2 linked regions of the Daphnia pulex genome follow. The protein of the gene in region 1 interacts with the protein of each later gene in a pairwise test. Links are inferred from orthologs where the notes say so. Each region holds a gene or a part of one and is shown in the gene's direction. Other genes may lie near its edges.

Evidence for each region.
Region 2: the proteins of protein stoned-B-like (region 1) and synaptotagmin 1-like interact in binary tests that used the Drosophila melanogaster proteins (3 or more experiments, as listed by UniProt). The link is inferred for Daphnia pulex from reciprocal best matches to the Drosophila melanogaster genes stnB and Syt1.

What each region holds. Positions count from the first base shown.
Region 1 is NC_060020.1:4,185,782-4,189,700, reverse strand, and holds the start of protein stoned-B-like, read left to right. Parts: upstream 1-1,504; coding exon 1,505-3,095; intron 3,096-3,167; coding exon 3,168-3,360; intron 3,361-3,422; coding exon 3,423-3,586; intron 3,587-3,652; coding exon 3,653-3,842; intron 3,843-3,914; coding exon 3,915-3,919. Other genes in the region: protein stoned-A-like, read left to right, coding at 1-1,467. UniProt on the Drosophila melanogaster protein: Adapter protein involved in endocytic recycling of synaptic vesicles membranes.
Region 2 is NC_060019.1:9,141,172-9,145,090, reverse strand, and holds the start of synaptotagmin 1-like, read left to right. Parts: upstream 1-1,473; 5' UTR 1,474-1,585; intron 1,586-1,741; 5' UTR 1,742-2,360; intron 2,361-2,425; 5' UTR 2,426-3,356; intron 3,357-3,735; exon of another isoform or gene 3,736-3,919. Other genes in the region: BTB/POZ domain-containing protein KCTD20-like, read left to right, coding at 1-70, 147-394, 475-813. UniProt on the Drosophila melanogaster protein: May have a regulatory role in the membrane interactions during trafficking of synaptic vesicles at the active zone of the synapse. It binds acidic phospholipids with a specificity that requires the presence of both an acidic head group and a diacyl backbone.

The sequences.
Region 1 (3,919 bases):
GCCGAACCGAATGGTCACAAAACCAAATGGATTGGCTTTGAAGAAGGAGATAAATTTAGAGATTTGAACGAGGAAGAAGCTGGAACTGATCAAGCCGCTGCCACCCATCAGCAAGTCGAAGAGGTTGCCGAGCAACAGCCGGAGGAATTCAATCAAGATTTCGAAAAGCAAGACGAAAACGAAGACGACGAGGACATTTTCAACACTGAATACGTTGATATCGCCACTAGTGGCGAATTGAAACTTGCCTACGTTCCCGACAGCCCAACACTTGAGGCTGCTGCCGGCGACGATCCTTTTGACACGTCAGACGTCGAGAAACTTGTCGGGCCACTTCCCGTGATTAAAAAGAAAAAAGCGCTAGTTAGTATCGGCGCTGCTGTGGAGATTCTGACTGCAGCCAACGCTGCCGATCATCAACAGAAACAACATCACCAAGGGTCTACAGCCAGCCGACAACGAATCGTTCAACCGCCCTCCGAGATTCAGTTGCTGTGCTGTTTCGACGACAACGAGGTCGATCAAAAGCTGCAAGGCAATTCGTTGGGAGTGACGCCTTCGACCAACCACTCAGCCGGACCCAGTAGTGTGCAACAGACACCACATAGTGAAGTCCATCTCGGGGAAGAATTGGTCTCCAGTGTCGAACCTGACTTGAAAGATATCCTCGCCGAGTTTGACGTCATTCCAGAGGGCAGCGATCAGCCAATCGACGAAGATTTTGTGAAGCCTCCCAAGCCAAATCCACCCGTGCAACCTAAGAAGCAGCCAGAACTTCTCGACGAGGAGGATTTCGAGTTCGAAGCTCTCGCTTACCAGTCGTTGGCCAAACAACCACTTCCGCAGGAAGACGAAGAAGAGGGAGACGATCCATTCGACACTAGTTCTGTCGACAAAGTTTTAAAGAAAGATCAAGTCGAAACTAGTATTGTTTCCAAGAAAGCTCCTCCTTCCCGGCCTGGCGCTCCACCCTCTCGGCCTCCGCCACCTCCTTCCGCCTCAGCAATCGCAGCTATTGCAGCTAAAATCGATCGACCATCTCCCGCTCCGGTTCGCCCGTCAGCTCCAGTCAATCCGACAGTCCCACCTCTTCAAGCTCAAGACTCGTTTGACGCTCTCTTTCTCAACGACAGTCCACCCGAAAAGGAGAAGCCAACAGAGAACAAGTCTGAACGGGAACCTTTAAAGTCTCCAGCTGCTGACCCATTCGACACCTCTGCCGTCGATCCTTTTGACACATCATCCATCGATCCGTTCGACACCTCCGCAATCGATCCATTTGACACTTCGGTAGTTAATTCCGTCAATACCTCTGCCACTGGTAATACTTGTATTACCGTTTCGTCACCTGTGCTTCCGGTTGAACCTCAGTTGCAGGTGACATCGTTTGTTTTACTTGACGACTCGCCAGTTGAGGACGAAGTTGATCCTTTTGACACTTCGGCAGTTGAAAAAATTCTCAACTAAATTTTCCGCTTTTCACTTGCTCTAAATTCAATTAAAAATGGCAGCTAATCCGTTTATGATGGATGACATCAATCCAGTTCTGGGATCTGGGACCATAAATCCTTTCGCTATATCAACGACAACACCAGCACCTTCTGCAGTGTCGAATCCATTTTTTGACATTGCTCCGGCGAGTGTGAGCGCCGTCAGCAATCCATTCTTGATGGATGATGTTCCACAACAGTCGAGCGCCAATGCAGTCTACAATCCTTTTGCATCATCCACCATGGAGTCGGATCCAGTATCGGTCAACGAACATGTCGACAGTCTTGCTTGGCTGAGCTCCGGCGGGGCCATGCAAATGCAAGATAACATGGCCAGCCCATACGATCTTCCCGACGCTTCGTCTGTGCCACAACATCATCAGCTAATGGACGATCTGTTGGAGGTTGACGTTCCGCTACCAGAAGAATTGGCCGCTGACATATTGGAAGTCGCCACTCCGTCGCCAATGGCCTCTCCAATACCGGAAAGCCTCAGCAATGCCAAACCTGGCAGGCCGGCTCCACCACCTAGACCCCCGTCAAGACCGTCGCCCCCGCACGAAACTCAACAGCTGATTCTATCCGTTACGGGAGCCATGCAGGCCACTTCCGAACACTTGCTGGACCGTTTGAGAGCTACAGCTCCCAGTCCAGTTCCAGGATACCACCCACACATGCATTCACACTCGCCGTCTCCTTCACCATCGCCGTGTCCGAGTCCTACTCAACATGCCGAAGTAGACCTGCTCCACGATGATCATTTAGGTGATCACTTAGGGGATCATTTAGGGGATCATTTAGGGGAACATCCAACTGGTCCTCCGCCACGCCCCACATCGAGACCCTCTTCTCCAGCTGTCCCTCAAAGACCTCAACAACTTCCAGCTAGGCCAACACCACCCGGGCCACCTCCAAGACCGGTAGCTCCAACGACGGCCTCGTCGGTACAACCACAACCTCCACCAGCCGATAAAGGTTTTGCCAGCATTTTTGGTGAGCCGTCTCCAACATCTGAATTGGAGGCTTTAGCATTCTCATCAGCTCCAGCCAATACGCAACCAGTGGTGGAGGCTGCTCCAGCCGAAGAAATTGATTTGTTGGGGCTTCCAAAGCCCAGGACCCGCACAAATAATGATATTTTAAAGTTATTCGAAAAGAAAGAAGAGCAGAACAAAGATTTGCTGGCGGGCGATGTCTTTGAAAATACGTTTCTCGTGGATCTGGACCAGCAAGCTCCACCCTGCCCGATAGCTCCGGAAACATCTTTCGTCTTAGCCCCATCTACGCTTCAGTCGTCTCTCTTCGAACAGGAAGCATTGGTAGTAGCTCAACCGACTGTCGAAGTGGCCCAAACTGTCGAAGAAGAATCGTTGACTATGAACTATCAACAGCCACAGGAAACTCCGACGCTAGTGTATCCAGAGATAAAAAGCCCTTTGCAATCAGAGCCGATTGCTATTCCCAGTCGGGGCGATAACGATCAACCTGAGGAGTTTGACGCTTTTTCTTCTCGTTTTGAAAGCGTTGGAAGAGAGGACATGTTGATGGTTGAAAATGATCCGTTCGACCCGTTTTCAGCTGGAGGCAGCGCCAAGGGTAGTTCCGGTAAGTTATATTTAAAATCCGTCAATTTGTCGTGGATAAATGTTTTAAAAAATAATCATATTTGTGGTTTAGTATGGGGAACTGCCACTGGAACACCCGAATCAAGCAGCTTATTAGGCTTTGGAGCGAGCGAAGGTTTCGATCCGTTTTTGGCTCTAACCGAGCCTCCACCACCTCCGCATGGAAGCCCACGTTTCCCGTCATCTCATCGTCAACTCTCACACGATTCCGACGAAGAACAACCGGAATTTGCTCTCTCGATCAAGTACGCGATTTAAGTTGTATACCGCATATTACTCGATTAACAGTTTGATGGCATTATTAAAGGCCTCGTAGCGAGGGATTTTCGGACGGTAAAATAGGATTAGCACTTGCCCCTGCTTTGGCACCGCCACCCAGAATTCCGATTCACACAACCAGCAGTGACGAGTATTCTCCTCCCAAAAGCCTGAATCCATTTTTGGTTCCGGAACAGGTGTCTGTGGTAGCACGTAAGTTTATTTTCATTCCCTAGCTTCTCGAACGGTTTCTGACTATTCATTTCTTCGTTTCAATAGACGAACCGTATATTCCTCCAGAGAGGAAGTCGACGGTAGTACGCAGGGATTCAGAGGACTCGCCTATGACACCTCTCTTCGACGAAGATCAGTCGGTTCCTTTAGAAGTATTCCCGCGCGTGGAATACACCGGTCAAATTTGGGAGATGCAGTTGCGGCAACCCAACAAAAAGAAGATTACTAGCCAGAGGTAAATAACGTGATTTTCATTGTTTTGTTCAATTTTATAAGCAATGAAATCAACTCTTGGACATCACCACAGATTCT
Region 2 (3,919 bases), on another chromosome or scaffold:
CTTTTGGACGACGATGTGGTTGACTGGGATGAAGAATATCCACCGCAAATGGGAGAAGAATATGCTCAAAGTAAGATCCTTGGAAATTCAACACCTTTTCCTCTAAAGAATGGCCGTAACGTAATATTTCCCGTTTTGTCTTGCAGCCGTCTTCAGCACCTCCATGTATCGATTTTTCAAGTACATTGAGAACCGTGACGTGGCCAAGCAAGTGTTGAAAGAGCGGGGCCTTAAAAAGATACGTCTGGGAATCGAAGGTTATCCGACTTATAAGGAAAAAGTGCGCAAGCGACCAGGAGGGCGCGCCGAAGTTATTTACAATTACGTCCAGCGGCCTTTCATTCACATGTCCTGGGAGAAAGAAGAAGCCAAGAGTCGACATGTTGATTTTCAGGTACAATCTCGTGCAATTTATGGAGCCAATTTCGGCTGATTGGATTTTCTGGTATATCCTGGCCTCCTTGTTAATTGCAGTGCGTCAAATCAAAATCAGTGACCAATCTCGCGGAAGCAGCTGCCGATCCTGCTTTGGATGCGGCTGGCAATCCACTGCTGCCTTTTCCTTTACCCTTGGGGCACGCTCCTACGACGGAGGGTCCCTTGGGGCCTGTGCTGGTAGGCCACATCGTCGAGACTGGACTCCACCACAACGGCCCTCCGATAATTGACGTTGAGGCTATTGAGGCGGGACTGGAATTCGAAGAAGGGGCCGTCGGTGGCATCGATTTGAACATGGTCCGTCCTCTGCAGTCCATGTCGCTTAACGAGACCTATCCACAGGGTCCAATTTCAGGACAGGGCGACGATCCTTGAAAAGAGACGGAACAGCTTTATCGCCAATTTTGAAGCAGCAAAAGCTCCTTTTCAATTAAGCTCGCTCTTGCTTTTATAGGCCTCCTCCATGGATACGCTACGGTAGTCTGTGACGTCCACCAAAACACACACATACACTTTCACACGTATCTGCCTAAAAATATTCGTTTTTTGTTTCTTAAATATCGCGCATTTGCTCGTGATGGCCATCGGTGGAATAGATTAACGCCTCTATTCAGTCGGATATTTCCAGAAGGTTTTTCCTCTTTCCCCATTTTTTTTTTTTTTTCAATTGAATTGATATTTTTCTTTCAGAAATAATCCAGGTGTCGTTCATTGTAAAATTCTCTTCTTAAACCTTTTTGCTAACTCGTCTTTATTGTGGCCCTCAGGTGTATTTATTCCTTGCCACTGTCAGATTTGCATTAGCAACACCAAGCACACTTTTGAAAAAGAAAAAAAAAAGCCCCAATTTATTACACTTTCACAGTCCTTCTCTTCCCCTGCGTGCCGGTTTGTTGTGTGTGTATTTGTAACATTCAATATACTGCAGACATGTCAAACAGGAAAGGCGAAATTTTTAAAAGATTTTACAGTTATAATTTCTCCCTTTTTTTTCATTTTATTTTCAGCATCGACCTTCATCATTTATGAGCTAAACGAGACCAGCGAAACCGGCAACTTGATTTCATGTTTCAGGTTGGTTCTGACCTTGTCCTTTTCGTTGTGTCCTCTCCTCTTTTGGCCGCCCGCACCAATCATCATTTTTCAAGTACGGTTATAATTCTTTAATAACGTGAGGATTTTTTTTTTCCAATTTTGTGTCTATGGGGACGGAAGATGAAAGGATTTCCTTGTCCCTTTGCTCGTATACTTGACGTCAGTCATATCGGCTTAATATTTATTATTCCTTGACTTTCTGATGTAGATGTTGTTGGCTTAGTGTCGAATCAAAAGGAAGAATAAATCTAAAGAAAAAGTAACCGAGCGACGACGACGACATCGGCGCATCGGTCACAAACAGACAAAGAAGCAGCCAGGCGAACTCATCGGATGGGAAAAAAGAATCGATCACAAGGACGTGCCGGGGCTAATGCACGTTGCTAACAGCACTCACAACAGAGCGAGACTCATCAATTCTTGGTTTCCTTCTTATTTTTTTATTTTATTTCCTTTTTTTTTCTTTTTATCGGATTGTAGATGACGTGCGAGCCGAATCGTCTAAAGTGGGTGTATGTGTCGGCTGAGTGATCTGATGTACACTGGAATGCGATTCGAACATGTCCGGCTTCACACCACTCCAAATTTCCCCCCTCTCAATTCATTTCCCCATGAAACCGAGCTGAGGTAAAAATTTAGGATCAAAGGTCTTTTACGTTATGGACGGTGGCATACCTCGAGGGATTCCCGTTAGGGGAATCTTTATTTTTATAAAACAGAAAATGGCAACTTTTTTTTTCTTCCATCCCTTTGCAACCTTGGCGTGCTTCTTTCCAGCTTAGGGGGATATTGACGGCCCGGATTTTCCCCGCAGCAGCCAATCAATAGTGATGGATATTTATTTGCACATAAAGCAGCTCATTCATTTCTCATTTTTTTTCATTTTTGGCAGTTGGAGATAGAAACCTTTCGTGAAATTTCTGGGGTGGAATCGTTTGATCGCCATTTGAAAATCAGCAAGAAAAGAAGATGAAGGAAATGGAAATGTGCACCCAAAAGAGAAATCACGACAACAACGCGAAAAGAAAGGGATGGCATAATGAGTGGTTCCGGATGCGGAGAGAGAGAGAGAAAGGGGTAAAAGAAAAACTTGAATGGAAGCGCGGAACTGGAGCTGGACGTTTGCACGCATCGATCCAATAGACAAACATCTCTCTCTCATCCTCTGCAACCCGGCAAACACAAAAGGGTCCCTCCCCACGGCTTTCGTTTCGTTGCGGGACCGCGCATCCCGGCACACCAAGTAGGCGTCGATCAATAAAGAGAACTTTCTCTCTCTCTCTGCAAAGTTTGCCGTCCTTTTGGCCGTGACTCTTGCGCAGTCTGCTTTCCTAAGTCTTCTATTATCTTTGCCCACTTTCTCACGGCCGCCATCTTTGAAACGCAGCGTCATAACATATTTCATTCCCCCAAATCTGATTATCGAACCTTTGAGCGTCGTTGTCGTCGTCTGGCTCCCGGCGTCATTTGATTTAGTCATTTAGAATTACCGTGGGTATAGCCTTGACCGGATCGTCCAACTCGTCAAGAGAGTGAGTCCCACATTCGGCTGATAATCTCTTCATTTCACGAACGTGAGGGTAGACGACGACGCGGTGTCTGTGTGTGTGTGTGTGTGTCGAGTGGGGGGTGAGAGAAAACAAATTGGTACACGAAGGACCAATCGGCGTTATAATTACAGAGTGCAAAGTGGGCCATTGGAACGAAGCGGGTTGATTTCATACGGGCTGCACGCCGTTGGATGCCAACAGATCTTTTTTCTCAATTTGCAGCCGGAGGAATATCGGGACGACCTGCAGAAAGCGTCGTTCATGTTTTCGGGGGTAAGTTGAATTATTTTGTCAATTTTCAATTGTAAAACACGTAACCTTCTCGTTCACAAAATTGGATCAAGAATCGTGGAATATTTTCGCTGTCGTCCGCCATTTATGTACATATACCCACACACACACACAGAGTGTGTATCTCTCTCTGTACGTGATCCCGATCGATTAGCGTGAGGTTCTCGTTTGGACAGAATGGCGGACGGGACAGCCCTGAAGGAAGAACGGGAGAAGAAATGTGTAGGCGAAAACGAAAAATCAATCTGGAAATTTCTTCGTCGTTGCTGGGTATCCCGAAATCAAGAAGGGAAGAAAAAGGGGGGGAACGACGACGACGCCTCATGTGTATGAACAAATAATACATAGAGAACCGTGGCAGTCCCGCGCGCAGATCCCGGGGCGCACGCATTCACGCACGCACAGTTGAGAAGGAGGGAGGAGGAATACAGTGTGACTGGGCTAGTCTTGGCCAGCTAGTATTGATTTGCTTGCCGTCCGCGGCACAGAACCAGTGGCAGCGGCAAAGTGAACGGGTCGCCATTGAATCTTTTCTTTGGTCTTTT